Struthio camelus: one gene and its partners. The protein of the gene in region 3 interacts with the protein of the main gene of each other region in a pairwise test. Links are inferred from orthologs where the notes say so. Each region holds a gene or a part of one and is shown on either strand. Other genes may lie near its edges. The genes, in order: AKAP17A, ZBTB16, CEP70 and SYTL5.

What was found.
Region 1: the proteins of CEP70 (region 3) and AKAP17A interact in binary tests that used the Homo sapiens proteins (3 or more experiments, as listed by UniProt). The two-hybrid records come from large-scale screens. The link is inferred for Struthio camelus from reciprocal best matches to the Homo sapiens genes CEP70 and AKAP17A.
Region 2: the proteins of CEP70 (region 3) and ZBTB16 interact in binary tests that used the Homo sapiens proteins (3 or more experiments, as listed by UniProt). The two-hybrid records come from large-scale screens. The link is inferred for Struthio camelus from reciprocal best matches to the Homo sapiens genes CEP70 and ZBTB16.
Region 4: the proteins of CEP70 (region 3) and SYTL5 interact in binary tests that used the Homo sapiens proteins (3 or more experiments, as listed by UniProt). The two-hybrid records come from large-scale screens. The link is inferred for Struthio camelus from reciprocal best matches to the Homo sapiens genes CEP70 and SYTL5.

What each region holds. Positions count from the first base shown.
Region 1 is NC_090942.1:147,316,754-147,324,611, forward strand, and holds the start of AKAP17A (A-kinase anchor protein 17A), read right to left. Parts: upstream 3,014-7,858; 5' UTR 2,947-3,013; exon of another isoform or gene 2,859-2,946; intron 2,487-2,858; 5' UTR 2,036-2,486; coding exon 1,274-2,035; intron 1-1,273. UniProt on the Homo sapiens protein: Splice factor regulating alternative splice site selection for certain mRNA precursors. Mediates regulation of pre-mRNA splicing in a PKA-dependent manner.
Region 2 is NC_090963.1:637,260-644,981, reverse strand, and holds the start of ZBTB16 (zinc finger and BTB domain-containing protein 16), read left to right. Parts: upstream 1-4,709; 5' UTR 4,710-4,793; intron 4,794-7,421; exon of another isoform or gene 7,422-7,549; intron 7,550-7,722. UniProt on the Homo sapiens protein: Acts as a transcriptional repressor. Transcriptional repression may be mediated through recruitment of histone deacetylases to target promoters. May play a role in myeloid maturation and in the development and/or maintenance of other differentiated tissues.
Region 3 is NC_090947.1:35,546,668-35,554,292, forward strand, and holds the start of CEP70 (centrosomal protein of 70 kDa), read left to right. Parts: upstream 1-4,615; 5' UTR 4,616-4,997; coding exon 4,998-5,006; intron 5,007-5,567; coding exon 5,568-5,667; intron 5,668-5,828; coding exon 5,829-5,952; intron 5,953-6,288; coding exon 6,289-6,469; intron 6,470-6,795; coding exon 6,796-6,965; intron 6,966-7,625. Other genes in the region: FAIM (fas apoptotic inhibitory molecule 1), read right to left, coding at 783-1,011, 1,381-1,516, 2,183-2,226.
Region 4 is NC_090942.1:129,200,626-129,207,712, reverse strand, and holds the start of SYTL5 (synaptotagmin-like protein 5), read left to right. Parts: upstream 1-4,079; 5' UTR 4,080-4,225; intron 4,226-4,301; exon of another isoform or gene 4,302-4,546; intron 4,547-7,087. UniProt on the Homo sapiens protein: May act as Rab effector protein and play a role in vesicle trafficking. Binds phospholipids.

The DNA of each region.
Region 1 (7,858 bases), on a different chromosome or scaffold from region 3:
AGATACAAACCATGGGGTGCAAGGCAAAGAGTAAGTACTCCACAATTTATTTCATTCCGACTGTATGTAAAACGATGTTCCACTAGCAGGTTAAAAGGATGGACAGAGAGAAGCAGAGTTGGAAAGGTCAGAGCACTGTAACTATGTATGAAGGAGATCTGTCCTGATAGCACAGTTGCAAACATTGCCCTCTCCCTTTCCTATTCAATCCCCAGGGCAGCTGCCAGGAAAGCATTCCTCCTCCTGCATGGACAAACTAAATTTGGGAACCCTGATCCAGTGTATGTAAGTGACAGTCTGAATTTCACAACCCCTGGAAAATAAAAAAGTTAAGGTCTAAAGAGTTTCTATGCTCCAACTGACAAGCTTTGTAACAAGATTATAGTATTCTACTTAATAAAATAAAACTTAAATAAGTATTTACATGTTCCCGTATTACAAAAACGAATAGTCAAGCTTTTTCCTGAAATACACATCCTGATTTGATGAATGACTATGAAGTCCACTGAAATAAGTAAGCAAACATTTCACTCAACTGATACATAACTGGATGGACAAACTCCAAGTATATCAGAGCAGTCGTCCTTAGGCCATACTTTCATTGACATTACATCAGAAGAGGACGCGTTGTCCTCTCCTGCCATAGTTCTGTTTTCTAAGACAATGAGGTTGCACAAAAAGAAAAGATCTGGAAATCTTGGTATGTAAATATTATGAATTCAACATACTGGATTCACAGGAAATTGTGCTACAGTTTAACATGTACTTTTTTTTTTTTTTTTTAAGGCCTTTCCGTACGTGAAGTACACTAACCATGATCAATTGGTGCATTCCACAGGTCTTATAGGTCACAGACTATTAAATTTCAGAATCCTGACACTTGTCTGGTAGACCTCATTGTCAGTGTAGGAGGCTGTGAATTTCTCCCCCAAAAATTCCATTTGTGGTGTACACAAGAGGACATTTCATTTAAGTCAACCTTCTAGCGAAATATGTCTGAACTTGTTCAGAATTATAATTTTTAAGAGAAATGACAATATTTATAGATATGTATTAATTTTCAAAAATCACAAATCATGAACAAGTCATACTCATGTATTTGGTCCTTCCATTGAGAAAAAGGAAAAAAACCCCACCCATTCTGTGCCTAACATAACACATTTTTCTTCTTTCTATCATTTTCCTTTCAACATTCTATTACAGCTAGTCCACAGGATTTTAGTGGCATCTGTTCTTTAACATGGGTTATTATACAAGAGCCTGTAGTTCTCACCTTTATATTGCAAGCCACTGCTTTGCCATCATCGCCTTTGTACATCAGCTTCATCCCTCGCAGGGCATTCATGGCCTTAATGAAACCTGCATATTCCCGATATTGAACATAGGCTTCAAAGTTTAAATGGCCTCCAAAACTAAAAGTGTGGAAATTTCTGCCAGTCATTTCTTCTCTATAAGGGTCCAGCATAGGTATGTCCACATTACGTATTTCTCCAAATTTCTTGAAAACTTTTATGAGAACTTCCTCACTTGGCTTTTCTGAGCCAGAATCCTTTGCTGCAAACCATTTACAAGGTAAGCCTTCCAAATGAATAGTATCTGGTCTTTCCCCTGGCAAAGTTTCATTCATATCTTTTGCATCACGAAAAAAAGAGTCCCAGTCATGTCTGGTGGGAAAGTCAATCTTATACTCTGCAGCACGGACTTTCAAAATGTCAGAGAAGCCACTCAGCTTTATTGTTTTGCCATCAAGGCATGCCAGAAAAGACTTCACCAAACTTTTGTTTTCAACCTCTCCTTCAAACCGGATGAAATCCATTGTGCTTTTAGAAATCCGCAGAGTAGAAAACTGATGAGTTTGCACCATACCTTTCAATCTTTCCATAACTTCCCAGTTTGAAATGGATTTTCCTGGTTGTTTCAGCTGAGGAAGTGCCACACTGATGGTCATTTTTGTAATGGGCTTAAGATATAACCCACAGGGAGCACAGAGCTCTACAGCTTCTGATGTATCATGAACTATTGTTGCAGCAGCCATAACACAGAAAAAGCATAGGATAAAAAGAATAAAGATGAAAGTTTAAGTTGTAGGCCAAAAAATGTCAAATAAAATAGCCCTTATGCATAAAGAATTGAACTCCTTGGACATTTAATCACTCCCAAGTAAAACCAATGTCTCTTAATATAAAAGTCAATTAGAGAGTTAAAATCAAGTAACACAAGCATCTTAAATTACTTTATAACCACCTGAGCCCATAAACAACTAAATCTCAGTAAGGCCTCAGAAAAAACAAGACGCTGAGGACAATCTAGGAATAAATGAAGTTGGTATGCGATGGCTCAGAAAGCAGCTACCCTTTTTTCAGGAAGAAAGGAACAGGAGGAGTGATGTCACACGGCTTCGAAGTCTACTTAACAACACATAAACCACAGCAGATTAGCACTGAGGACAGACTCCACGCTCTCCACTCTAAAGACTCATAGGGTATCTGCAATGAGAGAAGAACACTGCTTTTTTTTTTTTTTTTTTTTTTTTTCTCCTCCCCCCCCTCCAGCCAGAAGCCTCCTCGCCCTCCGGTTACCGCAGAGCAGCCTGAGCGGCACGGCGAGGCTGGGAGCCCTCCAGCCCGCGCTACCAGCCAAACGGCAGCGAGTGACCCCTGCGTGCGGGCCGCACGTCCGGCTGCGCAACGAGCCGCCTGCGGGCGCGGGGGGGGGGGGGGGAGCCGCGGCCTTCCCCGCTGGCCGGCCCGGCCCGCCGCTGCCCCCTCCCTTGCCGGTTTCCCAGGGCACAGTGAGGCCTCTCCACCCACCACCACCACCACCACCACCACCACCACCACCCGCACGGGGAGACTCACCGCGCCCGCCTCGGCGCCGCCTCACCGCAGCCGGCCCGGCGCGGCGCGGCGGACTCCCACCCCCAGCAAACGGCCGCCCACCGCGCACCCGTCCCTTCCGCGCCCCCCACCGCCACCGCGCGCCGCTAGGCCCGCTTCCGCTTCCGCGTCGGCCGGGGGTGGGGGGGGTTAGCGGGGGAGGCGTCCTGGCCGGCAAAGGGGAGGGGCGGAGCCGCTCTCTATGGTAGCGCCGGGGCCGCGGCTCCAGCGGGCGACACCAGGCGGCGGGGAGGGGAGGCCGGCGGGCGGGCGGGAGGGCCGCGGCGCAGGCGCAGTTGCGCGGCTTGCGGGGCCCTAAAACTCCCCCGCAAGCGTCAGTTTTGTGTGAAGGCTGGTAGGAACTGCGTTTCTGCTCCGTTGCCCAGTTGCCTAGAAAGTGGGTCGTGGCCTGCTTGGTGTTTCTGTTTGGCCCTCTCTGACCTCATTTTCTCTCTGTGGCCCTGCTGGCAATGACAGCGTCACGGCCTGTTTTCTGTTCGCGCTGGAAACTTGCCGGCAAAGTGACTCCACTAGTTTCTAGTGAAAAGCAGGCCCTTGCTTCTTGCTCTCCCTGTCAGGCGTGCGCTGCGCAGCAGCGTTGGCCTGCCTGCGCTCGGTGCGTGCCAACAGGCCTGCTTTCCAAGAAGATCTTTCTCACCGTTTCCTTCTTACCTACTGGGAGATGAGAGGGCAGAAACCGAGCACCTTGCCGAGAGCAGTGCTGGGGCCTCCGGAGTCACTGTCTACCAAGGAAAATAGCCTCCCACACACTTCTGATAGTTTGTGCTTTTCTGGGAAAAAGAACCCAAACCCTGTATTTATAAACAATCTCACAAATCAACCAGACACAATTTAGTCGTATGAACATGGGTGCCTAATGCTATTTAAGATGCTGTAAGATACCCAAGTTATGTATATGGGGCTAAAAATTATCCTACATAATTACGAAAATAATTATAAAAATTGTTCGTGGAGGAAACCTGTCTATACTGGCAGCTGGAGGCTATGCTGACAACCTGCATGGCTGTAGGCACACATGTTTAGACAAGTGAATTGAGCTTCCAGTGTCATCGCAGGAGCTGTGGGGTCTGGGTCCTGCTGGGTCTCTGGCTGCTGCTCTAGGAGGCTGTGAGTCTCCTCAAATCCTGACGACGTCTCGGGTACCTTAGGGCACCTCAGTAGGCGCTAGGCCCATTTGCCAGGCAGCTGAATCCTGCCCCTAGGTCACAGGTGGACGTCTGCGTGTAGGCACCTGAGTGTAGAGGTCCTAGTCTTTAACTGCATCACGTCCTTGGTGTTCCCAATATTCAGGAATTTTTTTAACTGCCCGGCATGTACAGAGGGAAAGAGAGGGGAAAAAAGAACGGAAAATATATAAAGTATTGACAAGTGTTTATATAATTGTTCATTAGTAAATATATTCAAGGCATACCAAAATACCTGGTCTCTTGAATGTGCTCTCTTTCTTTCCTGGTCTTCAGTTTATATTAGTGAAAAAAGGTATTTAAGTTGCAGTAGTGAGGGCAGGGGACAGTTACTTCTTTCGTGCTTGTTTGATTTTTATGTCTGTTTTGCCCAAAATACAAATAGGCTGGCTGAACCTAAAATACAGGATTTTTATATGATCTTATACTATTTTGCAGATAATACAGAATATCAAAGCTTCCCACTATAGTTTTACCACTGGTGGTTTGCTCATACTTCAGTGTAAGTACGGGATGCAAAAGTTTCCAACTCTGCATAGGTCAGCACACATGCACAGGAGAAGGCTTGCCTCCATCTGCTCTGTCATCACCCTCCAATGATCGCATGTTCTTGACCCCGGTTTCAACACCGGCCCTATAATCACATGCCACCACCTACCTCTCTCGATTTCTTGCTGCATATCCCTAGCCCACAAGCCATTACTGCTTCCATCCTCCTGACCTCAGTCAGTGACTTACCCGTTCTCTCCACATCACCTGCTCCCCCTGCAGCATATGAAAGCAGGCACCCAGTCCCACCTTAGGTAAGCTCCCACAGGCTGAGAAACAGGGACTGCAGTTACCTGTGGCAGCAGACTGGTGATAACCACTGTATGGAAATAATGACTCTAAAGCATAGGTCAAAACACAACACAGGAAGTTACCACCAATCCAGCAGTCCTTGTGAGACCGCAGTTGTTGTATAGAAGTGTTATTTCACATCACGGATGTTGGTAACTGCCAACCCTCCTCTAATTTCTTGCACAGAAATATGCATTCCACGGTTTAGTTAAGTATTTGTACAAAGACAAAATCAGAAGCTGTTGCCACTGTACAACACCTTGAAATAGCTCATGTATGATAGTTGGAGAATACTTGCATCGTATGCTACGCTTTCTCTTAAAATCTTGAAAGTTCATTTGGGAGTGAACAAAGCAGTCACATTCCACGTAGTTTCAGTAGAAGTGGAGTGAGATGTTATGTAGGGCAACAGTTTTGAATCCTGTGCCTGAAAATTTACAAAATGATAGAATTAAGGTTACCCATGTTGTGCTACCAACCATAACCATAATATCTTTCACAGACTATTTTTCTGATATACTCTCGGCTGAAAGGAATGTTACAAATGTATTATCTAACACGGTAGGGGAAAGGAAAAAGGAATGTGATGTTATATTGAATAATATTGTAAAGGCTGTGGACAAGAAGAAACAGTTGAAATGCGCATTAGAAAGATATAAAAGATGTGGCAAGGGTAAACTTTCTGCCTGCACAAATACAATTAGTAGATGTGCATTTTTGTTTTGTTTGTTTTATAAACTATATTGAGATACCTAAGTGACTAAATGAAATGGTTCCTTTTGCGTTTCAGAAAATAGGTCACATATCACACATACCAGGAAGAGGAAGCATGAACAGGCAAGGTAAACATCAGTGACAGTATCCAAGCATAACAGTGCATTCAATCTGGTTGTCACTGTAACACATTCCATTTCCCCAACTGCAACAAATATATTGTGCTAGAGACCTGAAAAGTGACTTGTGTGTCTTGCTCAACTTCAACAAGTGGTCTAATAGCAGATAAGATTTCTACCTACAAACCTTGTCTGCTTGTATCTTTAGAAGTCACAACCACCACACTTTGAATCCCTTAAAAGTTCACTAGAGGGAGCCCTTGTTTTATCTATCTATCTATCTATCTATCTATCTATCTATCTATCTATCTATCTATATGCACAAAATCTATCTATACATGTATTCACAAACACAATTAAAATAGACTATAAACAGCAGATACTAAGTTTTGTATTCATGCCTTAATACACACTATTCTGCTTTTCTTACAAGAGGACACAATTCTCCTTACTGTGCGTGGTCTTATCTGTATACTTATTCCGCTGTTCATTCTGCACCATGCTCTTGCCTTTAATGATCATTTGTGGCAATGAATGCAAGAAGCTACATGTGTAATGCATTAAAGCAGCAGTGCTACTTCCATTCCTTCCTTGCTTCTTCCCCTCTGAAAAATACCAAAGAGGAGGAGCTCTTTTTAGCTTAAAACTTGGCTTTTTCTGTTTGAGACTGATTTGTCTCCAGTGATCATCTAAATCTTCTCTGCTGTATAAAGTCCATAAATACTCCTAGTATATTTCTTTTTAGAAACAGCTACAGTCCTTACCAGCCTTTGATTACTTTCAGTGTGATTTCTGTTTTCTGTTGTCACTTAACAGAGAACATCTCTTTGTTCTCTCTCCTACTGAAAAAAAAAACCAGAGTGATTCACTGTACCATCAAACTGTTTATGGATAGTAGCTGGAGGTGGATGCAGCAGCAGCACAGAAGACTTGGACCAATAGATTGCGTAATTCTTGAAAAGAGTAAAAATGATGTTTCCAGACATTAAATTGGCTCTACCCACAAAACAAAATTAAGCCCTGATGCCTTGAAGCCTCTAAGTGGGTAGAAGCATAGAATTGCAGCACATGATGCATTGTTTTATTTTCTATGGCAAGAAACAGTTCTATTTTTTTCACTTTGCTTCCATTATCTCTGCTCCTTTTTTTTTTTTTTTTTTTTTTGGTCTAACTGAATGCTATGTGTCAGTAAAAACTGTGCTTATGATTGTCTGCCTTGGGAAGAATACATGTCGTTAGAAGAATTGTGTGCTGACATGGGGCAATTTCAATTAATTGGAATTAAACATCACTTCCTGTAACTGGTCCTCTACAGACCTAATTGTTGTATTCTATTTAAATAAGTAGAATATGACTATATACAAAGATAATTCCATTCCCTCTTAATTCATCTGTACAACAAGGAATTCATCTTGTTAGCACAGACTAGGAGTATCCGATGCAGAGCGCGATAGTTCTACCAATTTACCTCAGTGCGCTGTGCTTACTGTCGCACTTAATGTTACACTTAATATAAATAACAAACAAAAAATCTACTTCTTGCTTTTGCCAAAGAGGAATTAGCATCTATAGCAGAACTGATTTATGAACTGTCTGGCTGAACTACAGCATGCAGTAGCCTGTAAAACATAAACATTAGATTCAAGCTATTAAGTCACGTTGTATTATACTTGCTAGCAAGATTTATGCTTTAAACAGTTCTAGTATTGTGATGTCAGATGCAGTACTGATTATTTCAATTTTTATACCGGTACTCATGTGAGATGCTTTCAAATACTGTTATTTCAGACTTCCATAGCTGTAACTTCAAATATAATTCCAGTTTTAAAAGATCAGGGTTCTTTTTGTCCTTTTTGCCTTACCTATTCAGAGGAAAATATTTGAGTCTGATTCAAATTAAGCAATTTGAAATTATATATTTCCCTCATAATATTACAGGTTGCGTACTAATACCAATCAAAAAAGAATCTGATCTTTTCATATGCAGTTTTTAAACCCAAAATTTTTCTTAGCAATCCATGAACTAAAATGCAAGAGCTGTTGGCCCATCTGTTTCTGGAGCAGAAAACAGCAACGGGTTAATACTGTTAATCTTCCATAGTAG
Region 2 (7,722 bases), on a different chromosome or scaffold from region 3:
GGAGTTCTGGAGCCGGGGCGATGCACCCAGCTGCCGTTGAAAGCCGTGTCAGCTGCCTAGATTGCCGGCCCTTCTATCTGGAGCTATCTGCGGCCTTAGCGGCTTGCATGACGACTTTTGCAACTCTGGCCCTCAGAAGATAGCTCTTATCCAGGAAAAGCTTTGTGAGCCTGTTGACTGTCATTCATTGGAGGCTGACCGAGTCATTCCGGCAGGGAACGTGTTCGGTACAGCAGAGCGTGCCACCCTGCCTCCCGCACGGCAGGCCTATGGGCCAAGGGCACCGCAGCGCCGTCCCGCCAGCCCCAGCGCTGACCCAGCTGCCGGAACACGCCGCCAAGTGCGTCTGTGGGATTCGCGCTGGTGGGCAAATATGTTGTGACCGATGTGGAATGCACAAATTTCTTCCAGCCTTCACAAGGGATTCATAAATATCTCCCTTAAAAAGGGTAGTTTGCAAACTGTCTTGATATCCAAGTGTTATCTGAGGTTTCAGTCACTTAGGAATTTCTAAGCAGATAAGATACCCGGGGTTTATTGTATCTTCTGGCAATTATTAAGAAAATAAAATCTGTTAATATGTAACTTTGGATCTAGACTGACTTTTGGCTGCAGACTTTATTCCGACTCTCTTGTAAGTCCTGGCGTTCTGTGGCTTGCAGAGGGGCGTTAGGAACGGCTGCAGAGAGGAACGGGGATTTCCTTCGAGATGCAAATACCTCCGTAAGGCTGCCAGAATGTTTTAGAAACTGCCTAGGTTTGTGTGTGTGTGTGTGTGTGTGTGTGTGAGATTCGGTCGCCTAGGTTTTTCCTGGTGCGGGAGATCAGTCGACAAGGAGGAGGAGCCGCTTGGACAGAAGCTTCCCCAGCTGTGTGGGGACTCTGTGTGCATCTTTAGCACACACACATGCGAAAAAAGAGGAGGGGAGGAGAAAACCTTCCACAACTGTAGCCTGTTTGCACTGTCAAAAATAGTAATACCTCTTCTACACATACACACGCGCGCACTGGCAGACACGTGTTTCAAAAGGGGAACAGATGACTCATGCAACTGGAAATGGGATTCGGAGCTTTGCCCTTGCTGGAGAGGAAGGATGAACTGGGGGTAAAGGTGTTCGCTTGGGGCCAGGAGCTCCACACGCACCTTGCTCCTTCCAGCATGAAACTGAGCCAAAAGCATCCAAATAGCATACAGATTTACTTTTTTTTTTTTTTTCCCCAATGGGATGGCTAATGCCAGTTATGTTCCTGACTCACTTTCCAAAGCGAGGTCTACGCTCCAGCGTCGTTGAGGCTCTAGAACTGCGCTGCTTCAAGGCAGCAAGGAGCTGAAGAAATATGTTAAGGATATATTAATATCACACGCTCAGGAAAGCATGAGAATTGCAGAACTAGTTTGCAATTCTTGTTGGTATCCAAAGCTGGGCACGAGCCCGGTGGGGAATGAACATCCCCTTAGGGAGTTACCGCCCTGTACCCTGGTTCTGGGGGAAAGCCAGCATTATTGGTGTGCTGCAGGGAAACTATCGCCCTTCCCCAGCGCTATGTCCGCTCTGGAGAGCAGGGAAAGCCGAAGCGAGGGCGGGGGCACAGAGGAAAGGGAGGATACCATCCAGAAACGCATCTCTCGAATGAGATGGTCTAATATTGCCGAGGATGAGGCCGGCCCCCGCGGACTGCCGTGCTGGGGCCTCCTCTTGTCTGTCCTGGGTTTGGGGGGATGAAATTTACCCAGCGCACGCGCGACCGCCTCGGCGCCGTGCGGTTCGGGCCGGCATTTAGAGTCCTGGCACATCTTCCTTCCCGTCCCGTGCGAGATGTCAAATATTTTAGGTTAAAAGAAGGGGAGAAGAGGAAAAATAATTGCACAGTAAATTAAACAAAGTGTCCCCACACCCCAGCTTATTAACGCTTCAGAAGTTGCTGCTTCTGGCTCGAGCTGTCTTGAATGCATACAAAGGGTAATGCTAAAAATAGGTACTGTACAAATGATTAGGTCATCGCCTGCTAGAGGGAGACATTTTTATTTAATTACTAACCAGGCTGTGCGGCGGTGGTGGCGGTGGGGCAATATATAACAAACACACCAGTTCAAAGCCTGGCTGCCTGTTTTGCAGCGCTGTAAAGTTTGTGCTCCTTCGCTGAGTCACGGTGGATAAATCCCCTTTGTGCCGGGATTTGGGGTGGAATGCAGGCGGGCTGGCCGCCGCCGGCTCCCGCCGCAGTCGCAGCTCGCCGCCGGCTCGCGCTGTTTGCAGGCTTAGGGCCGTAAGCCACTAATTAGCCTTATTGTCTTACGGGCTTCCCAGCGCGCGTAACCTGGGCCAAGGGGGAGGAACGGCGAAAGGGCAGGGAAACTGCAAGCCTTGGAAACGATCGTGTGCGTGCCAAAGCCTACGAGGGAGGAACGGCAGTTTCTCGTTTCCTTTCGGGGGTACTTGGTATCTCAAAAGCCATCGTTCTTAAAATCCAGCAGGGAATTTAATTCACTCTTTTGATGCAATTGCACCGCTGTAGCCTTTCGCAGCCCTCGCCGCTGCGCAGCAAACGCTGCCAGCCACGGTTTTTGGGCTAGCTTAGGTGTGACTCAGAGGTGCTTGCAGCCTAAATGTCACGGCAAGGCCTGAGCTGCGCTGACTTCGGGTCCCAGCTTCTTGCTCTGCTGCGATGCTCCTTAAAGGAGCCCGGATTTCAAACAACCAACCATCGTGCCGCCCCCAAAGTCCCCCAAAGCAGCTGCGCCCTCTCGGTTGCCTTGGCACGGCAGCCGGTGGCACGATGAAGGGCTGCTCACGACTCCCTCCTCCCGCGTGCGGCCACGGCGCGCGCGGGGCCGATCAGCGCCGCGCCGGGGCTGCACCCCGAGCTGCCGGCCCGTGGCGCTTCTCCCCGCTCCTCCTCGCAAACGGCTTGACGCGTTCTTTTTTAAATGAAGTCTAGCACATTTAATCATCTCTTTCATGACCTGTCAGTGTGTCTTATATGCAGCAGAGCGCCGAACTGCTCTCAGTCGCAGAGCGAACTGGACGTGCCTAACAGCGCTAGGGCAGGCGCTTGTCGCGCGTGCGCTTACGCACGAGCGTTTGCATGTTGAAACCTTCGCCCAGAGTTGGGAGTAATGTCGCAAATCAGCTTTTAAAAGGGATGGCCCAAGTCATGGATTTTTATGATTTAGGTTAAAACGGCTGCTCTTTCCCACCCTGCCCCCAAATCGCTAAGGTACACCGAAAATCCTCGTTCCACTGTTAGAGCATTGGGCCGCACAGCAGCGAGACCAGGAAACTGCCCGAACCCGCCACAGCTAAGGGAACACAACGGTACCCATACCAAAATGCGCTAGTCTGAGCGCGGGGAAGTTAACGTTTCTGCAGCTTGCGTGCGACGCGGGTGCCCCCTCGCCGGTTTGGCGCAGGAGCAGAGCTAGGGCAGGCCAAGCTGCTCGCTTGTATTGGGGGGGACGTAAAAGAAATCGCAGCAAAGTGCAGCTGTAGGAGTTGGGCTTACTTCATCCCAAAGCGTTGTAGGGCTCAGCAGGCTGAAGAAGTCATAAGGAGTCGTGTCATCGTCTCTGGGGTGGAGAGCGGGGGCAAGGAGCCTGCGCCTGCGCGGGCCGTCCCCGCGCTGGAGGGGAAGGAGCAGCCGCGGGCTGACGGAGCCGAGGCAGCCCGAGCGCGCCCCGCTCCCCGGCGGCTTTCAGACCTGAGTGCTGGGCTACATATCCCAAACAAGGAACTCCCTTTTCTGCTGCAGTTTTGGGAAAATTCTGTGGAACGACCTTGTGCGTCTAAAGCCTTTTCTCCAGGGCTAACCTCTCCTTTTCGTCCCTGTATGCCTAGCTGAGTGCCCAAGGAGCAGCCCAAGGAACCGCCTTCCCTTATCCCTTGAAATACTTAGAGGCCATCAACTTGGCACATGTTTCGTTTGCAAATCTTATCTTTCTGTCTGCCTGCAAACACTTACCATGCTATTTATGTTAAGAAAGTGAATGTCTGTGTCTCCCCATCCAAAATACACGAATAACTCGGGAGAAAAAGTTACTGTGCGGCGATCGCTCCGTTTCCTGGGAGGGATGCGCATGCGGACCCGCACGCTACGCTACGTGTGGCTGTCCCGTGAAGAGCTTCTAGGCGTCGTGCAAGTCTCACAAGTTTAATGCTAAAGGTTAATAATAATCACAATAGGCAGCACATCATTGCCTCTGTATCTGGTTGAGAGATTTACAACTTAAACTCATGGCAGAGGAAGAAATTGCCTCAATCACTTGGAGTAATGGCACATGGAGAGCCGCTTGGGCGTGACTGCTATTTAACAGGAGAAACCCAGCTTGGCTTCGTTTAGTGTGCTGGTTCTTCTGTAATAAACACGTCACACTACAAGGTGAGGATTAACTTCAGAACAGCAGATAAATTGGAAACTGATGGGGAGAGATGAGAGTGAAATGGAATATGCTGGGGGGGCCCTGCTGGGGGTACTAGCCCGTAACTCCCGCGCTGGGTGCTGGGACACCACCGCGGGGGCCAAGGCTGCCGTTTGTGAGGGTGATTTCTCCTGGGCAGCGCCTGGGCTCTGCCCTTTGCACCAGCTGCGGGAGGCTGGGGCGGTGCTGCCGCCTCCTTACGGGGCCCACCTGGGGGCAGCGGGGGCCCTGCCTGGGGGTGCTCCTGTTCCCGCCCCTGCCCCAGCCGCAGCACTTGCAGCCTGGCGAGGAGGTTGGAGGCGGCACGTCCGGTGCGTGAACCTGGCAGGAGGTGGCTCCTTGCGTTTCTGCTGCCCTCCAGGGCAGGGACACCAAGGCAAGTGGTCGCGTTTGTTCCTCCTCTTAGACGGGTGAACTTTCCGCGGTTGGACCTTTCTTTTTCCACAGGAAGTCAGTCACCTGCTGTAAGCGAGGGTATAGGTGCCTTGAGCATGCTTGCTGGAGCTGGTGCAGTGAGGAATTTGCATTTTTTTAATGTTTCCTCTACGCTGTCAGTGTGGGGCCTTGCTGGGAGAGAGTGCGATGATGTTTAAGGTTGTGGACAAGAGTTTTTGGCTCTTTCCTGTTTTATACTTTTCATACTCTCTCTGCCTTGTGGCTAGTAAGGGGTTTCCCAGCTCCATGTGCGCGCAGGAGCGTGGAGGGCTGCAAGCATATGGAAGGAAACAGGGGCAACTCCTCCTAAATCGTGTGCTTTCTGAGGGGAAAAGCTGTTTCTGGCGTTGTCAAAGATGCGCTTGGCTGGTGTATTGCAGAAAGCTGATGGAACTAGTACTCGTGCTAGTACTCCCTGAAACTCCTACTTAACCTCTAAGGAGTAAGTAGCAGTTGGTTGGGGCCTCAATTAACTTGTCGCCTCAACAGTCGAGGCAAGGAAAGCAACTCGGCTCTTGGCCGTGGTGAGCGTGTGCAGAGCCCAGGTGGCCTGGCTGGAGGGGCAGGGAGAGAGACCGCGGTGGTAGTTTGAGGGGGACTCGGCTTTTTCTAAGTCCAGCTGCAGGCAGACAGGTGAGTTTTGAACCGTGCTCAGCGGTGGTAGTTTATTGGGGGCTGAGCTGCAGGAAACTCTCCACTATTGAGTCATCTCGGCTTAACGCCGTGAGTGCAATACACTGACAAATTTGGATTTTTAGAAGGACGTTCTGGTGAGAGCTTCTGACCAGCTCTTCTGCCCCTCTTCTGCGGGGGGACACCATCTTTTTTGCACTGTTTGTGCAATGTCTAGAACTAAAGATTCTTACATGGTATTGCAATGCAAGCAGGGAAAAAAAACAAAAAACAAAAAGGCATATGAATAACCGAAGTCAGTTCACATTTTTTCAGCCTACAGTAAAACAGAGGCTTGATTCTGCCTAGGGTCTCCGGGAGCCACTGCAGTAAACACTGCGGCACAGCTTGAAACCCCTGAAGGATTTAGGCACATCACTACCTAAGATGCACCTAGTCAGTGGATAAAGGCAGGATTTCTGCTTTCAGGGTCAACAATCCAATACTTTCTGGGGAAAAAAGTAGCTGTAGGAAGCGAGTCTCTTAAACAACTCGGTAGCTTTTATTATATATATTAAAACAGCAACAAAAAGTGCAATGCACCAGTTCGCAGCAAGGACTGGGGGGTTAATTTTCAGCATGCTGCATGGGAATTTAGCCGTGGGATTTCCATTATTGCTAATGGGACTCATGCAGCTTAATTTCATGCAAGCTACACTAAAAACATACCCCTAACTGTCTGCAAAATTTCAGTTCTGAAATCAAGCCTTTTAAAAGTTAGAGGAGGGTAAACAAACACCTGAAACCACACTGTCTTGCTGTTCTCCACTCCCATTCATTTTGAGTTAAAAGTGTGTGTGGGGGGGGAACTCGAGCAGTTTTAAGCAATTAAAAAGGAAAAAAAAAACCCAGCGCTCATGCTGACTGATGGCACTCCAAATTTTAGCTTTCTGCCGATTAAAATGGCAGAGTTATAACCCCTGGAAAATGGGGGTGGCTGATGCCTTATCCTTAACTATACTACTGCGAATGCTACATTATAATACTTATCTAATAACCTCAGCGCTGTCGCCTTTCATTATAAGGCCTCTGTGATTAGGCTGTTCTTGTTAAATGACCTCTATCAGCTGGTCCCAAAGTACATTAAATCCCATTATAATTATAAACACACTTCCCTGTAACATTCTCTGCCGCTTGCGTTCGCACCGCTTTACCCCCCCAAGGGTATCTTTGTACTAATGCCGTTGTGGGGCGGTGGTGGGGACGTGGGGCGGCCCGGGCTGGGCGGCGGCGGCTGTCCGTCCGCGCTGCCTCCTGGCTGCGCTCGCTGCTAGGGGCCGCGGCAGCAAACCGCGCCGCGCTTTCCGCGCTGCTCCTGAGGCTCCGGCACCTGCCTGCCCGGGCCGGGGGCGGCCAGCTGCTTCGCCCTGTCTTTGTTTTTACCAAACGCGCTGCACGGAGCCGACGTGCGCCCCCCGTCCCCGTCCCCCCCCCGGTGTCACCGTCCGCAGCCCTTCAGCGGCGGCGGCAGCGCTGCGCCCGGGGCCGAGGCGCGGAGTTCGCGGAGGGCAGCGGCTGTTTTGGGGGGGGGGGGGGCGGAGGGGGGGGGCCGCCCTGCCTGCCTGCCTGCGCCCGGGGGCGGCGCGGCCCCGACGGCGCGGCGGGGGCTGCAGGTGGCGGCCGGGGGGGCCGCGCCGCCGGCGCCGCTTCATTGGCTGCCGCCGCCGCCTCCATGTTTGTTGTTGGCAGAGGCCGGCGGAGCGGAGCGCTGTCCAGCAGCAGCCGCCGCCCCCCCGCCCCGGCTGCGCGGCCCCGCGGCGGCGGCGGCGGCGGGCGGGCGGCGCTGCGCGGGGCCCCGTCGGGGCGGGCCGGGGCGGGCCGGGGCGGCGGCGCCAGCAGTCAAGATGGAGCGGGCGGCGGGGGCGGCGGCGGCGGGGCCGGGGCCGGGGGCGGGCCGGGGGCGGCCTGACGTGGGCGCGGGGCGGCCCGCGGGGCCGGCGCCGCGGTGATTTGCTGCGCGGCGCGGCCGGCGGCGGCGGCGGCGATGAGAGCGGGCAGTGCGAACTGCCGCAGCAGCCGCCCGCCGTGAGTGCGCGCAGCGCGGAGCGCAGCGGAGCGGGGCCGCGGGGCGCGCAGCGGGGCGGGGGGCGCCCCCGCCACCTGATGGACGTTGCCCCCCGCGGGCGCCCGCTCCGCCGGTGCCGTCGGGCCGGGGCGCGGCAGCGGCGGCGGCGCCCGGCCCGGCTCTGCGCTGCCGC
Region 3 (7,625 bases):
CTGTGCCAATTATTTAAGGAGTGTTTATTCAATCAAATCCCAATTTTAACTTCTTTGAGGTATGTTTAAGTAAAGAGCAGCTTTACTTAATATCCACAAAGTTTCAGAGTTCTTAAGATCTCCTTGAAAACTCAAGTTCCATCCATACCATAATATGAAGAATCTTAAAATTGTACTGTTTCAAACAGTATTATTTTATTTTTCCCAGTACAACCTTCTTAAGTTCATTAGCTCTAGAATTCACATTACTGACACTGCCCTCCACTGGCAATGATTAGAGAGCTGAACCCTGCTCGCCTTTTAATTAAATACAAGGAGACTAAAACTGTGAGGAAAACCAAGCAGGCTGCAGGCTCTGTCATATATTAAGATTGCCCCCCCCCAGTCTTATTTGATCTTAGGATATTCATTCTGTCCTTACGTTTAATAAAGGAGAAAAAAAAAAAAAAAAACATAGTCCCTGATCTCATCTCTGGCTCTAACCTTGCAGCAACACCCAAGAAGCTTCCCCTACTAGATGCAATGGACACAAATTTCCCAGTAGCTTCCTTCTGCCCATCTGCTTGTAGTATTTTTGGGAAAGGGGGACGAAAGAGGAAAGATGTAACCAGACCCTTATTTTTTCAGATCGTTGTCTTTAGCATCTAATTAAGTGTTTCCAGACTACCCAGGATTTTGCACTGCAACAGTGCTAGCCTGAACTATACCTTCTCTTATCTGCCAGTTATTAAATGCACACAAGTTTATTCAAAGGCAACAACATGAAGTCAATATTTACTTACCTAGAACAACTCTATACTCCATGCCATCCAAACTCAGTACCCAAGTATTAGTTGTTTTTGACCTGTTCTCCATATACTTCTTGAGGCTTTTCCCATTGATATCCAACGTATATTCATACGCAAAGCCACTGACTGCATCAATGTTAATAGTAGCTTTTGTTTTAGCTGCTCCAACAGTAAACGTTTCTTTACCCACCAATTTAAACATCCATTCTTTTCTTATTTCTTCCTGTAGGAAAAAAAGCCAAAGACAATGGGTATTAATTAATAAACCTGAATATGTCTCAGGATTGAGACATTTTGAACTAGAACTTGGGCAACAGCCCAGTACTTAACTATTATTTCAGTATGTACGAATTCATAATATTTTGCATGTACAGAGTGCCTCTGCCCAAGGACTGCAAAGCACTTCATGAAGACTCACACCTTAATTGTAACTGAGAAGAGAATTATGTAGTCTATTAGATTACGTAAAGTTAGTCAACCAAATACATCTCACTTGCATTTATTAGTCTTTTGTTTGTTCTGATGCATTCTGCATGGAAGCACACTTACACAGTCTGTATCATAGTGAATTTTGAGCATATAGTAATTTCACCTTTCCATCAACATAGACAACACGTTTTCCTGACGTGGTCCCATGTTCAAATTCAATCTTATGAACACCATCACTTAAAGCTACTTCCCAAACGGCCACCAGATCTGTCATCTTCTCTAAATGGCTGTACCGGGACCTACAGAAACACCAACAAAGTACATTAATTGTGGTTGAGAGAGTTCAAATATTGCTGAATGTAGTTGAAAGCTTTACTACTTTATAGCAAGTCACCTTTTACCAATGAAAAAGTGAGATCTGAAAGAATAAATGTAACCAATTTTTTTATTTTCTTAAAAAAAACCAAACATTCAAATATGATAAAACTTGTCACAAAAAATAAGCACAAAGACAGGTAAACAGGTTCACTTTGACTAATACCATACAAGAACATACATCCATCTAACCTCTAAAACTTCCAAGGCAGATGACAACAAAGTTAAAAAACTACACTTACATTCCAGATGCTTATGGACAGTTCTGTGATTTCTTGGCAGTCACTAATACAGTACGCTAACTGGTCTGTTAAAGTGTTTTAGCCTTTTAAACTTGCAAACTAGTTAGGGTGACCAGTTTAGCTATTAAAAAATTTGTCTGTAACCTTTTTCATAAATATTACCTACATCATTCAGAAATGCAACTGTGCATGCACATACATATTACCCCTCCCTCCTTCCAATGGGGGGAAGAGATGTTGAGATATCCTTTCTTTAAGTGGTTTTTAAAACTCAGGTAAACTCTTAAGTGACTGCTGAAATTGTGGATATCTTTTCAAACCTGTTCATGCTGCAGTTCTGTTTTTTACCTTAGTTCATCTTCACCGACAGTAATCTCCTCACAGGATGCCATAGTAATCAAAACAGCTCTTAATCCAATTAGCAGCAAGAAAAAAAGAAAAGCTGAATAGCAATAGAGAAGCATTGAGAACTAGATTTTCCTAGTTTTCTCCATTTAAGATTATAGATCTTTTTAAAAAAGTGTGATGAACTATCATGTATTATTCATATATGTGATTTTTTTCCTCTTAGACAAAAAGGCAAATACAAGTTTATTTGGAAGTATTACTTTACAAAATTAGTATGGGCGATTTTTCCTAACTTTATTAGCACAGCCTAGCTTTGTCATGTATTTGATGAAAAGTACTTTGCCCGATTTACGAGAGAAAGTTTTGAAACGGACCTGACCAAAACAGGAACCAAATCCAGAACTTCACAGCTCAGTCACCAACTGTAACACACCGGAGACCATTGCCACTAGAGGCAAAATGAAATAGTGCCCGAGAAGAGGATATCAAATACTGCTTGGGAGAGCAGACAGGATGCAGGAGTCCTTATGGTCCACAGTCAGTGCAATATTCAAATCCTGAGTGAAGTGGAAGCCTTGTTCTTGTCTCAGACCTCTAAACATAAGCACCAGAGCCAGACTCAACAATTTCGACTTAATAGCTTTGCTAAACCACTGTAGCAGTTTTCAATAGTCATGGTAGCAATTTGACCTGGCAATTCAACCATAAAAATCTGTATTTACCAGAAATAAACAATGCAAGCACCATCAAAAAGCCTTCTAAGTAAGAAGTAGTGATTTATGTGTTCCTACAACACTGCTAACCTGTTTTTAATCCTTATCCTTTTCATTAAACACAATAGTTTGTGTAGGATCTATTTTCATTAAAAGCTGTCTTTTAAACTGTACTGTTAATCACATAAGCTGTAACAGACCTCCCAGTTGTCAGAGAATCATTTAAGCCGGTGGAACATAAAAGCATAAGAATACTGTACTCTATTTTTCTTCCAACACATGGCCTATTGCTCTAATCCAAAGTAGCTACCAATAGGTATAATTTCATTCAATGCAAATAACTCATTTTTGGTAAATAAATGGTACTTTTCCTTGAAAAAATGAATTAAAGTCAAGTCATGAGTTCTAGGATCTCTCTTGAGCATAATAGTTAATGCATTTAACATTAGGCCTCCTTCAGTGTAACTTGTTTCTGCTCTAAAGCAAGCTCAATAGCATTGCTATATTACTGTTTATTATCTTTTTCCTCAGCAACCCTACAAATTTCTGCTCGTGAACTGCAAAGTAAGTTCCAAAGACTGTGAGTTCATTTTTAAGAATATAAGGATTTAATTCTCCCATTTGTGAGTTGTGTATGTCAACTAATAATGACAACAAGGGGGTCTTTTTGTTGCTTTTGAAGTTTACAGTTTGGTTTCCATAAAGATTCTTATCCTCTGGAGCATCAGGGAAGTTGGGAAACGGTTATTATTTCTGCACCTCCTTTCTAAGGATTAAAAAAAGAGAAAGAGACTCTTACTGGCTCAGGACAGACTTACGCCGCCTGCCTCGACCATCTTATCAACACAGCAGCGACCTCAAGTTACAAAAAGTGCCAAAGAGGTGGAACCGGAGCACGTTTCCAGCCTGCTCGCAGACCCTGCATCCCCTGCGGTGGCATGCAACCCGGCCCTATGAAGTTTAGCAGCTAATTTAGCATCAATATTGAAAAGGCTACAAAATAACGGAAACTACACAGTCTCCTCCCCCAATCACTTCGTAACACGCTTTTCGAATCAAATCTGGGCACAAAACCCAGTCTCTAGGTCAGCTTCACCCTATCTAGAGGATGGGCAATACCCATGGAGCATAAAGTGAGAGCAGCACGCAGGAGACGCTGACTGACTAAGAAAACCTCTACCGCAGAACCGGCCCGCAAAAAAAAAAAAAAAAAAAAAAAGGGAAAATAAGAAAAATTACTTACTGCCTTGAATCAGTCCCTGGGACTCCGGGCAAAGCAAACCCCCCCACCCTAGCTCTGGCCGCTGCCAGGCGGCACTTAGCGCTGTAGGGCCTTGGAGGCCGCTCCAGCAGCCGCCAGGCCGGGGAAACCGCTTCCCCCCCCGCCCCCCTTCCCGCCCCGCCGCTGCCGAGCGGTCTCCAAGGCGCCGCTCCCTCAGCCCGGCCGCGCCGCGGCCAAAACACCCCCCGCCGCCGCCTCCCAGCGTCGGGCAGCGAGGTGACCGCAACGCCTCCGCGGGCTGGACAGGAGAGCCCCGGCCCCGGCCCCGGCCGCCCCCATCCCCAGCGCTGTCTCCTACCTGCGCGGGGCTCCGGCCGCTGCAGCCCCCACCGGCGCCACCTCCGTCTCCCCCTCCCTTCGCAGCTCTCAGCGTCTCAAAATGGCGGCGCGGCGCGCGCCCCGGCCCCGCCCCCCGCCGGCGGCCGTTAGCCGCAGCCCGCCCCGAGCCGGCGCCGTGAGGCGGTAGTGGGCTGCCCGCGCCGCTCGGCCGCCTCCCGCTGGGTGCCTTCCTGCCGCGCTGCCGGCCCCGCGGCCCTCTCGGAGCCGTTGCGGCGGCGGGCCGGGCGGGGAGGGCGGCTGTGGGGGTCTGAAGCGCCAGTGCCGGCTGCTGGCGGCCTGAAGCGCCAGTGCCGGCTGCTGGCGGCGGCGCGGCCTCCGTGCGCCCCGCCGCGCCTCTCGGCGGTCCTCTTTCCCGAGGCCTGATGACTTTCCCTTTTTCTTTCTTTCTTTCTTTTTTCCCCCCTCCCGTGTTCATCCCTAGGCAGCTTCAGATCAGGGCCCGGGCTGCTCTTTCTGCATATTTGAACAGAAATCCCTCACAATGACGGAGGTACAGTAATGAACCTGAGCTGTTTGTTTGTCTGGTTGATTGATGCTACTTTGAGGTTAAATATATGTATGTACATATATTATACACGCACGCACACACCTACAGATAGGTATTTCTCTGAAGAACTCGCCACCCGCCAGCTGGCTGCACCGTGCTGGGGCCCTGGGGCGGGACGGGACGGGACGGGAGGGGAGCAGGCCCCGCCGCCTGGAGTACGCGTTAAAATATTAGTATGAGATGAGTGCCTTTCATTTTGTATATATTTATGTATTTTTTCCAGAAAGTATTTTTTTTCTTTTAATCGTTTGCAGATCATTTGCAAAGGCATTTAAAAATACTCACCGGGAAAACTGGATAATCTGTAAACTGTCCAGTGTGTTTTTCCTAATATTTTTGCAGATCATACTTGGAAAGTCTTTCAACCCTCCTGTAGCAAACCGTGGTTGTTTTTTGATATGGGGGCATTTGGTATCTTCTACCGTGTACACAGCTAGGAGAAATAGGAGACCGTAAGCTGATCTTCAGCATTCAGGTTGTTGTCTCTCCTTCTCCCAAACGCAGCAGGAGAAAGCAGAATGGGAAAACTTAAACAAAATTTTGATGCGCCATGGGTTGAAACCTGTGAGCTTTGCTGCCCCAGGAAACAGCAGAAGTATATCAGGTAAGGGCATGCTGTTTTTACAAGTTTCTGTATATGAAAATATAAGCCCAAGTTCATAAACCGTCTTTAAAGCTGTCTTTTGCAAGTGCCAGCAGAGATGTGGTCTTCTCCAGTTATCAAATGCCTTTCACTGTGACTTTGTTTATTTTGAATGTTTCCAGATATGATTGTCTTGGACAATCAGTCTTCTCTGGGGATAAGATGTGCATTACAAACACTGCTGGAAGACACGGACCGACAACAGAAAATGATGCATGGGCTTATGGAGGCTAATCACCAGCTCAGGTAAGACTCAGTGGTAGGAACTTGTTTCTAATGCAAGCCAAAAATATTGTCAGTGTCCGTTCTCTGCCAGGTGGAGCTGCTGCCACGCATGAGGCCCAAGACCTTTTTCCTGGGATTTTTGTGGAAAGTGGCAATGTTGGCCTGGTTTCTTCTGCATTTTTCTATCATTTCATCTGCTGCTTCTTCCCATAGCAAAATATTTCCCATACCTGCTCACATGGCCCATTATTGAGTGTTAACAGCTAAAATCTGTTAGGCCTGTGTCTCCTTCACTGTATTTAGTGAAGTTAATTTATTCTAAATCAAGGATTGTGGTTTTTTTTTTCTTTTTGTTAGAGATGAGGTACGTCAGGAACGAGGTCGAGCATCCCGGCAAGAACAACGGGCTAATGATTTGGAAAACGTGGTGAAGAACATAAAATCCAAAATTTGCCAGCTGGAAGATGAGACAATAGCTAAGGTTTGCCAGCAACAGAATCAGGTCAAAGAACTTCAAAAAGATCAGCAGATTTCACAGGTAATTCTGGTAAACCTGTTTGAGGACTCAAACTTTTGACTTTTATTTAAAAGCTTTAAAAATAGTGACACTGGTCAAAATAAATGCAAATCTTTTTGTCTTAAGAGTTACTACACTGTTTATAGCTAAGATTTTTCAAGCTCTATGGAAATTTTTTAATGATAGATTAGAAAAACATATGCATCCTTCTTCCACTGTCTCTTCAGCATGGCTAGAAAAAAACTACTCACCTTCCTTAGGAGCAAGTGCCTACTTGGGCATGTATGGCACTGTCTCCAGCTTGTTTGTCAGAATAATTTCGGAATGCTCCCGTTCCCTTTTCACAGGCAAAATACCAACAGCAACAGGAAAAGCTGCAAGAACAGGAAGAGACTATTGCCCGTTTGCAGAGGGAGCTGTACAAGGTTGGGATGGAGGAGCAGCAGCGTGTTGCCACTCAAAACAAAATGTTTTGCCAGTTTTGCAAAAGAGCTCCGAAGTCTCTTCTGGATCAGCAGTAAGCAATTTTCTTCCACTGTTATACTGATGTAACATTAAATGAAGAAGCACATTTTAAAATAATGGTTTTTGATATTTTGATTTTTTTAAAAACTGAGTTCCTTAGGAGTGCCAGTTGAAATATGAATCCTTGTGCCTTGTAAAGGCATGTGAGTTCAATGAACTTTTACTGTATATTAAAAGTGAGCTGCTTAAATCCTTGGAGAAAAGTGAAAATTACAGCCACTGTACACAAGGTGTCAGCAAAGAAAAGAGAATGATGCACTATTTAGTCTGGAACTCCAACGTCTACCAGGGTGATCTCATTCTGGGATTCTAGTATTGTTAAATGTGATCTTAAAGAAACAACAAAAATCTTTCAGTTGTGAAAAGTAGTATTTGCAGCTGCTAACTGCAGGCTTACTGTAAAGCTTTACAGTTACTTCTGTGAAGGTTTTGGAAGTACTCTATGTCTCTTATGATAAGGTCTCCATACTTCTACTATAAATCAGAGCTTTGCCAATTCTTAGGCCTCAAACGCCCCTCACTTGAGTGTGTTGGTGTGGCTGGGTCTGCCAGTTTTGGCTGGTAACACTAACCTGCAACAAATTTCAAAGGGACTGTGCAGCCTGACTGTTTCTTACTGTGCCCTCACTAAACAAGAAGAGGAATCACTGAA
Region 4 (7,087 bases), on a different chromosome or scaffold from region 3:
TTGTAAATAATTCCAAGAAAAATCTTGATACCTTTAGGATGAAATTAGATGTTATGCTACCAGTTTATGCTTCACAGGTGTTCACATATTTTCAAATTCTTTTGACAGTTCCTTCACTGTTGCCTCAAGGAACACTTCTGAATATCTTTAAAACATATGGCACTTGCACATTAATTCAACATTTTTTCATGCAGGACTTCATTCTCCAGCTTTTACTCATTTTGCATAGTTCTTGCTTGTGCAAAGAATGCTATAACTGACACTAAAACAGTTGTGTGAATAAATAGTGCACTCAGTAATGAGGGCTGTAGGACCATTCCCTTAGCTTGCAGGAGTTCACTGTAGGCAGTAATTCAAATACTGGCTTAACATAGCACAGTGAAACACTCGTAATTGTATTCCCACTTTTTTTGTCTGTTTCAAATGTACTAAAGAAAAGCAGGGGCAAGTAAACCGATTCCTAGTTTTATAATGGGAGAAAAAGAAGCACAAACGGGTTACTGGCATTTGCTGTATCTGTAACTCTGCTTTTAGCTTTTCCTTTAAAAAGGACAGGGTACATTATAACTTTTGACATCATTTGTTCAGTATGCAGAGGAAGAGTAGCTAAGGAGCCAAAGAATAACTGAAACTTAAAAAATGACTTCATTTTTCTCTCTGAGGTAAGTTTCTTGGGTACATAATAAGCAAACCTCTTCTTTTTGTGTCACAAAAGTAGCAAAGGTGAGGTGAATAAACTCTGGGACAAGAATCCGACTTGCAGCCCAATACTATTGTTGCATAAACAAAATCCCAGCCCTAGGAAAAGCTGGCGGGTCGAGATCACATGGCTACTTGGCAGCAGTCATCTCACTAACATTTACGATGTGTGTTGAAGACACCATATGCTAAGGGGTTATGTAGACTTCTTTCCAACCTTATATATTACACACTGACCAAACAGGAATTATGAAGTAACAGTGTCTTGTGAATTTAAAAATATGTATCTTTTAATAAATTTATTGGATACTGCTTAATAACATTGAATAAATCTCTTTTCTTTCAAGAAGGAATGCTGAGCAGATTGATGAATGGTTTAAGGAAACATAGTGACACTATTGCTTCTGCAGCAATTTCTGTCTTTCTTCTTGAGATGTTATTTTGCCCCATTTTTCATTAGTGTACTATAACAGTTTTTTTTTCAAAAAAAAAAATCTGACATCTCCCCCCCCCCACACACACACATTTTCATTAGCAGTGGAGAGAAGCACACAAGTGCCACAAGCTGCAATAAAACTCAAGGAGGAACCCTTTTTCCAGAAATGCCAAAAAGTCCATCCTTTAAAATGTGGAATGCATCTGAAACCATTGAAAAAACTAGGCAGAAATAGGACACTTCAGTAGAAGTAGCTTCCACAATTTTCCAACAGTCTGAAGGCATTGCTGAAATGTCTGTTTTTTATGAAGACCTCCACCATGCAAAAGGTCAAAACCTTGAGCAATAAGGATTAGTAAAAGGCATAATCCTCTCTTCTCATTGAAGATGCAATTGTACTTCTTGTAAGTAGCCTGGGCAGTACTCAAGTGGACGATCGAGAACTTGCATGTTTCAACTTTCCTGAGGAAGCTTTCCTTTAAGACTGTGTCTTCCAATTCTACCCCTAGCACTTGTGTTATTTAGGAGTCAAATGTAAATAGTTATCCCACAGTAGCTCTTGATGCTAACAACTGTGGGTATTTCTGAGAAACTCTCTTACCTATTTCATGATGCATGAATTCTTACTCACAAACCTCTTTATTTAGCAAGTTGCTGCAATAGCCTAGTTGTCTGATATATTACTGATAGATTAGGGCAGAGAGACATGCAGAGCGCTTCCAGAGCACTCGATAATGCTGACTGAAAAAAAAGCAAGGACTAGCAGGTTTTGTTCATTAATGTTGCTGAACTGAACTCTGTAATTTGTGCAAGTTCTTCTTTGAGTTTGGAGGACATTGTGTCTGCGTGGACGAGGACATCAAGAAACACTGAACTCTATATTGATTTTTGGTGTGCGGAGTTAGCAGTTGCTTTTCCAGACAGAAAAATCTATTGGAAACCTTGTCCCAGAGGACAAAAGTGTTGCTATAGCACTCTGGAAATGGGCCATGAATACGAGGATTCATTCTTAATAAAGCTTTCTAGCTTGAAGAAGGCTGCAGCTAGGGACTGTAGTGGGGTAATTCTTCACAATGATGCAAGTGTTAGCAACTGAGATCCCAGCCATCAATGAAATAATAGTGAGAATACTTTACCTTCCTTCTAAAAAGGCTACAGAGTTCTGTAATCATGACTTACAATACTCTTAGTTCTTACGGTCTGTTACGGATCACAGATGGCACTTAATAATAAACATGGATTTGGGTGAGGCAGAATAATATGGTTCTCCAGCCTTTATGAGTAGCTGCTTTCTATACCAAAAGAAACACAGAAAGTTTGTGCTATTTCTCGGAAATTCTTCTTGTGTTTGGGTATTCAGGTTGGTAATGGTGTATCTGAGCTATCAGGCTGCTGTGCAAACGATTGTTAGCCCTTCTTTTCACTAAATCCCTAACCAACATCGATGAAATGAAGCTATAAAAATCATATAACTCTGAACTTTATGTTTTAATATTTTAAAATATTTTAATAGTTTTAATATTTTAATGTTTTAATAGGTTAAATCATGCCATTACAGAATATATTTAACTGTGCATCTTTTTTGATACAGCAGTTTTCAGTGTTATAGAGACCAGTGTTATATTCTGATAATTACAGGATTTAATTTAGAGCAGATCCATCCAATAGCTTTTCATGAGCAAGTGAAAGGATGCTGTCATGAATATAACATTCAGCTAACTCACATTAGTTTCCAAAGGAGTTGTATTCATATAGTTATTAAGTAGACATTGCATCTCTTAAGATTAAGCTTCCCAGCATATGCATCATTTGGAATAAGACATGCACTATAGTTTCTTAAAAATAAATGTGACACTAGAAATATGAAGATAACCTGAGTATTGTGCATAAGATGCCATTTTTATGCTAGAATTGTTCATCTGAAAGCACAGCAGGAAGTTTTGGTTGCATCTATCAGAATTTTTTGAAACCGATAAAATTTTTACCCTCTTTCAAGTCAGTTACTGCTGTGGAAAAAAATCTGTGTTAAGTATTTTCATGTGGCCTACCTCTGTCTACTGTAACAGTTTCAGAACTGTACTTTAAAATGTTAGGCCATATATATAAGTGCTAAATTAATTTCCTTATCTTTTTAGATGCTTGCTACGTGAGCTCTTCAGGTGCGTTGAAGATGCCTGGGAGGGTAGATGATGATTCACTTGATTCATTTAGGATGTTTATTACATACCGCTCTACCCTTTGGACTCTTCCCTCATCCAGCGCACACCATGGATGCAGCTACAGCTTCCCAATGGCTGGAGAACGTTAAACACAAAGCAGCAAGCGGTCTGGTGGGCTGAGACGGCTCTTACCAAATGGCAGGGCGGGAGCGGCCATTTCGGGCAGCCTCTGCCTGCCGCGCGAGGGCGCAGCGGGAGCGGCCCCCGCCGCCATTTCGCGAGGGGCAGCGGGGCAGCGGGGCAGTCCCTGCCCGCCGCGCGAGGGCGCAGCGGGAGCGGCCCCCGCCGCCATTTCGCGAGGGGCAGCGGGGCAGTCCCTGCCCGCCGCGCGAGGGCGCAGCGGGAGCGGCCCCCGCCGCCATTTCGCGAGGGGCAGCTGCTACCCGCCGCGCGCAGGTTCGCTCCGGCAGCTGCTCCGCCCGCACCCCTTAGCGGCGGGACGGCCGCCGCGAACATGGCGCGCCCGGCTCGCACCCCCTAACCTCCCAACCCCTGGTCCGCTGCCCGCCGCAGCGTTTCCCGCCGGACAGGGGCGCTGCGGGGCGGTGGCTGCGGCGGCGCGGGCAGCACGGCGGGCGCCGGAAGGGGCCGCTCGGGAGCTGCGGCTGGGGCTGGTCCAGCAGCAGCTGGAGAGGTGAGGGAGGACCTGCCGTGGCGGCGGGGCTGGCTGCCGACTCCCCTCCCTCCTCGGGGATGGCGAGGCCAGCTCCTGTGGGGCAGAGCCGGCCCCTCTCCCGGGGTATGGGGATGGCTTTGTCGTGAGCCAGCCCCTCGCTCGGCTCCAGCCCTTCCCGGCTGCAATGCAAGCACACTTCAGCCGGGGCTGCTGCTGCTTCTGCGAGGAGCCCCTGCCCGCTGCAGGCGGAGAGCGGTACAGCCGGGGGAGGCGGGGAGTAGGGAGGGGGTGAGGTGTGCTGCTGCGAGCGTGCACCTGCGGGCGTCCGAGCAGTCCGTGTGTGCGTGCAGCGTGTGTGTGTGTGTATATCGTGTGTGCTGCCTACGTGAGCCAGGAGCTGAATCCCGAGGAGGCTGGAGTAGTACTTTACCTCCCAGCTCCATTGAATTACAGAGTTGACATCAGCAGTCCTTAGCTGCCTCGGCAGCAGCGGGCATGCCGACAAAATATACCTATATATATATCTCAAAAAAATACGTATTTTTTGTTTTTTTTCTTCTCCTCCCGAGGTTCCTGGTAAGTCCCTCTTTCTTAATAGAAAATGCAGCTGTTTTCCGTGAGTAGAGGAAGACGGAGCCTGCGGAATGAAGGCGGGGGGGAGCCTTGGTGGAAAGCGCCCCCCAGGTCCCCTGTGCCGGGGCTCTCCAGGGGCACCTTCCGTGGGGAGGGGTGGGCTGCCCTCACTTGGCTTCCTCCTGCAAGTAAAGCAGGTACTTACAGCATTACTAACCTGGCGGGAGGTGTTTGCGTGATTTTTTTGTTTAAATGTTTGTTAGCCTACATTGCTGTGAGAATTGGAGGTGGTGGACCTTACTGTCAGTGAAGCGATCTGCAGTTACTGTTCTGCAGAGGGGGACAGTGAGGAACGGGCCATTAATTGTCCTTCTTGAGGCTGGGCAGGTGAGAGGCTCAGTGGCACTGAGGTGGAGATAGCTCGAAGGCTTGTGCTAGCTAATGTTTTCTTCCAGGTTTTTGACTTGAAAAACGTTATTTGTTTGTTATTATGGATAATAATACATAACCTAAGTATTAAAATATAGCAACCAGGAGGATTAGATAGTGGAGAGGGAGAACCACTTATAAGTGATTATAGAGAAGTCTGGGTTACTTGGTAGTTACTGAGTGCAGATATCCAGTATGCATTTCAGCATAACTAAGTGTGAAGTCGTATCACTAAGAACAGTGAGTTAGAAGGTTGCGCCCCAGGGTTGGTGATTTTGGAAAGACTTAGGGAATTTCATGGGCAGTCAGCCAGGGATGAGCCACTTAGGTGAAGCTAAGCAGACAGAGGAGCAGCAAGCAGGAGCAGGAAAATTAGCTGTGAGGTGTGCAAGTGTTACTGTTTTGCTGTTTGCACTTTAGGCAAGAGATTTCTGTGCTCACAGCCACCCCAATAATTCAAAGGTTTAAAAGCCGCTTGCTGTACAGTCTGTCAGAGAACGTGTTTTCTTGAACAAAATCAAAAGAATTACAGCAGTGATTGGATCTTTGTCTAGAAATGTCAGGGTAGGAAGAGCGGGCTCTTAAGTTGAGCTAGAAAAGATTTAACAAGATCCAGTGTGGAAATTTGAAGTTGGAAGGGCTGAGACTATAGAGAGGGCAGTTTTTTAACAATAAGAGCACTTATTAGATTAATAAGTATTTTGATTTTTTTTTATCAGCATTGTGCAGCTTTAAACCAAGGATGTTTTTCTAAAGCAAGGTCTCTATTTTTGACGGAACTTTAGTATGGGGAAATCTTGTGAGCTGTGTGTAGCAGAGGATGGAGCAGGTGAACACAATGGAGCTTGTCTCTTTTAGACATATAGTCAGGAAAGCTATGTCATCTCAGGAGGCACACTTTGGGTATGCTCACCTTCCTTCCCTTGGCTCCCCCAACTTTCTTGACGTAAAAAGACTTGATGACCTTGCTGATTAGCCTTTGGCTGTATGTTTTCCTGTGTATTTCTCTTATAAATTATCCCCAGAATGCAATCGGGGCTCCATGCTTCTGTTTTGCATCCAAGAGATTGAGTTGGAGCTTTGGAAGGTGACAGTTGCGATGAGAATTCCTGTTCATACATCTGAGTACAGGTTTGAGGTATGTGGTAGGTGTGGCTGGAGATAGGGGTATATGATATCCACACTGTATTAGTATGTTTAAGCACACTTTAAGTAATTTAATACATTAACATTTCTAAGCTTTCTTCTATGCTATGTGTACCCTTAAGAGATAATTATCAGCATATTTTTGCTTTTATAGATTTCATGGTAGTTGAAATCTTAAGTTCTTTGGGATGAATGAATGATTCTTTATTTATTCAAAGCTTGTTGTAAAAAATCCTTGTGTTAGCCCTGTATTCTCAGAGTGGAAAAACAGCAGGTATAAATGATCTTATTAAATAACTTGCAGCATGAACAGCAAATCATAGTCATCTACAGGTTTGCATATCTACAAGACATTTCACTTCTACGTAGTGCTCTCTCTCTCTCTCTTCCAAGTCTCCTTATCAATACAGAGGTGAATTTCCTATCTGATGATTAACTGCTCTTTGTTAGTGAGATGTTCTGCTCTGGAGGGGAAGGAAGAGAATCTGCTGATGGAGTGAAGGGCTGAGGACAGCTGCAGTGCAGGTTTGCTAAGTGCCTGAGCACTTTGTTTCCCAGTTCTTTATTGCTGTTGCCTTGCCTAAGTTTACTCTGCCTTCCAATTAAACTTTCTTGAGACCAAGGATGAAGAAACTGATGTATTCTACCAGAGCCTGGAAACATAAGACAGTGGAGTAGTTAAGAATGGCAGGAAGAATAAGCTTGAAAAACTGCTTGCTTTGGAGTCCAAGAGTGGTAGTAGGACAGTATTTTGGGCATAGGCATAGGAAGCTGAAAATGCCTATTTCTTTTGGATCTTTAGAGTAGTTCTTCTATCTTTCTATACTAAAGACCCATGCTTATATACGTAAAAAATACAAATGTGGCAGAGTTCATCGTTTGGAAAATAATTGCGTAGTATTATTCAAAAATACGTGTAAGCAGAAACCAATCTTATAATTGATGTATATGCCCAGCAGATGGTCTTAA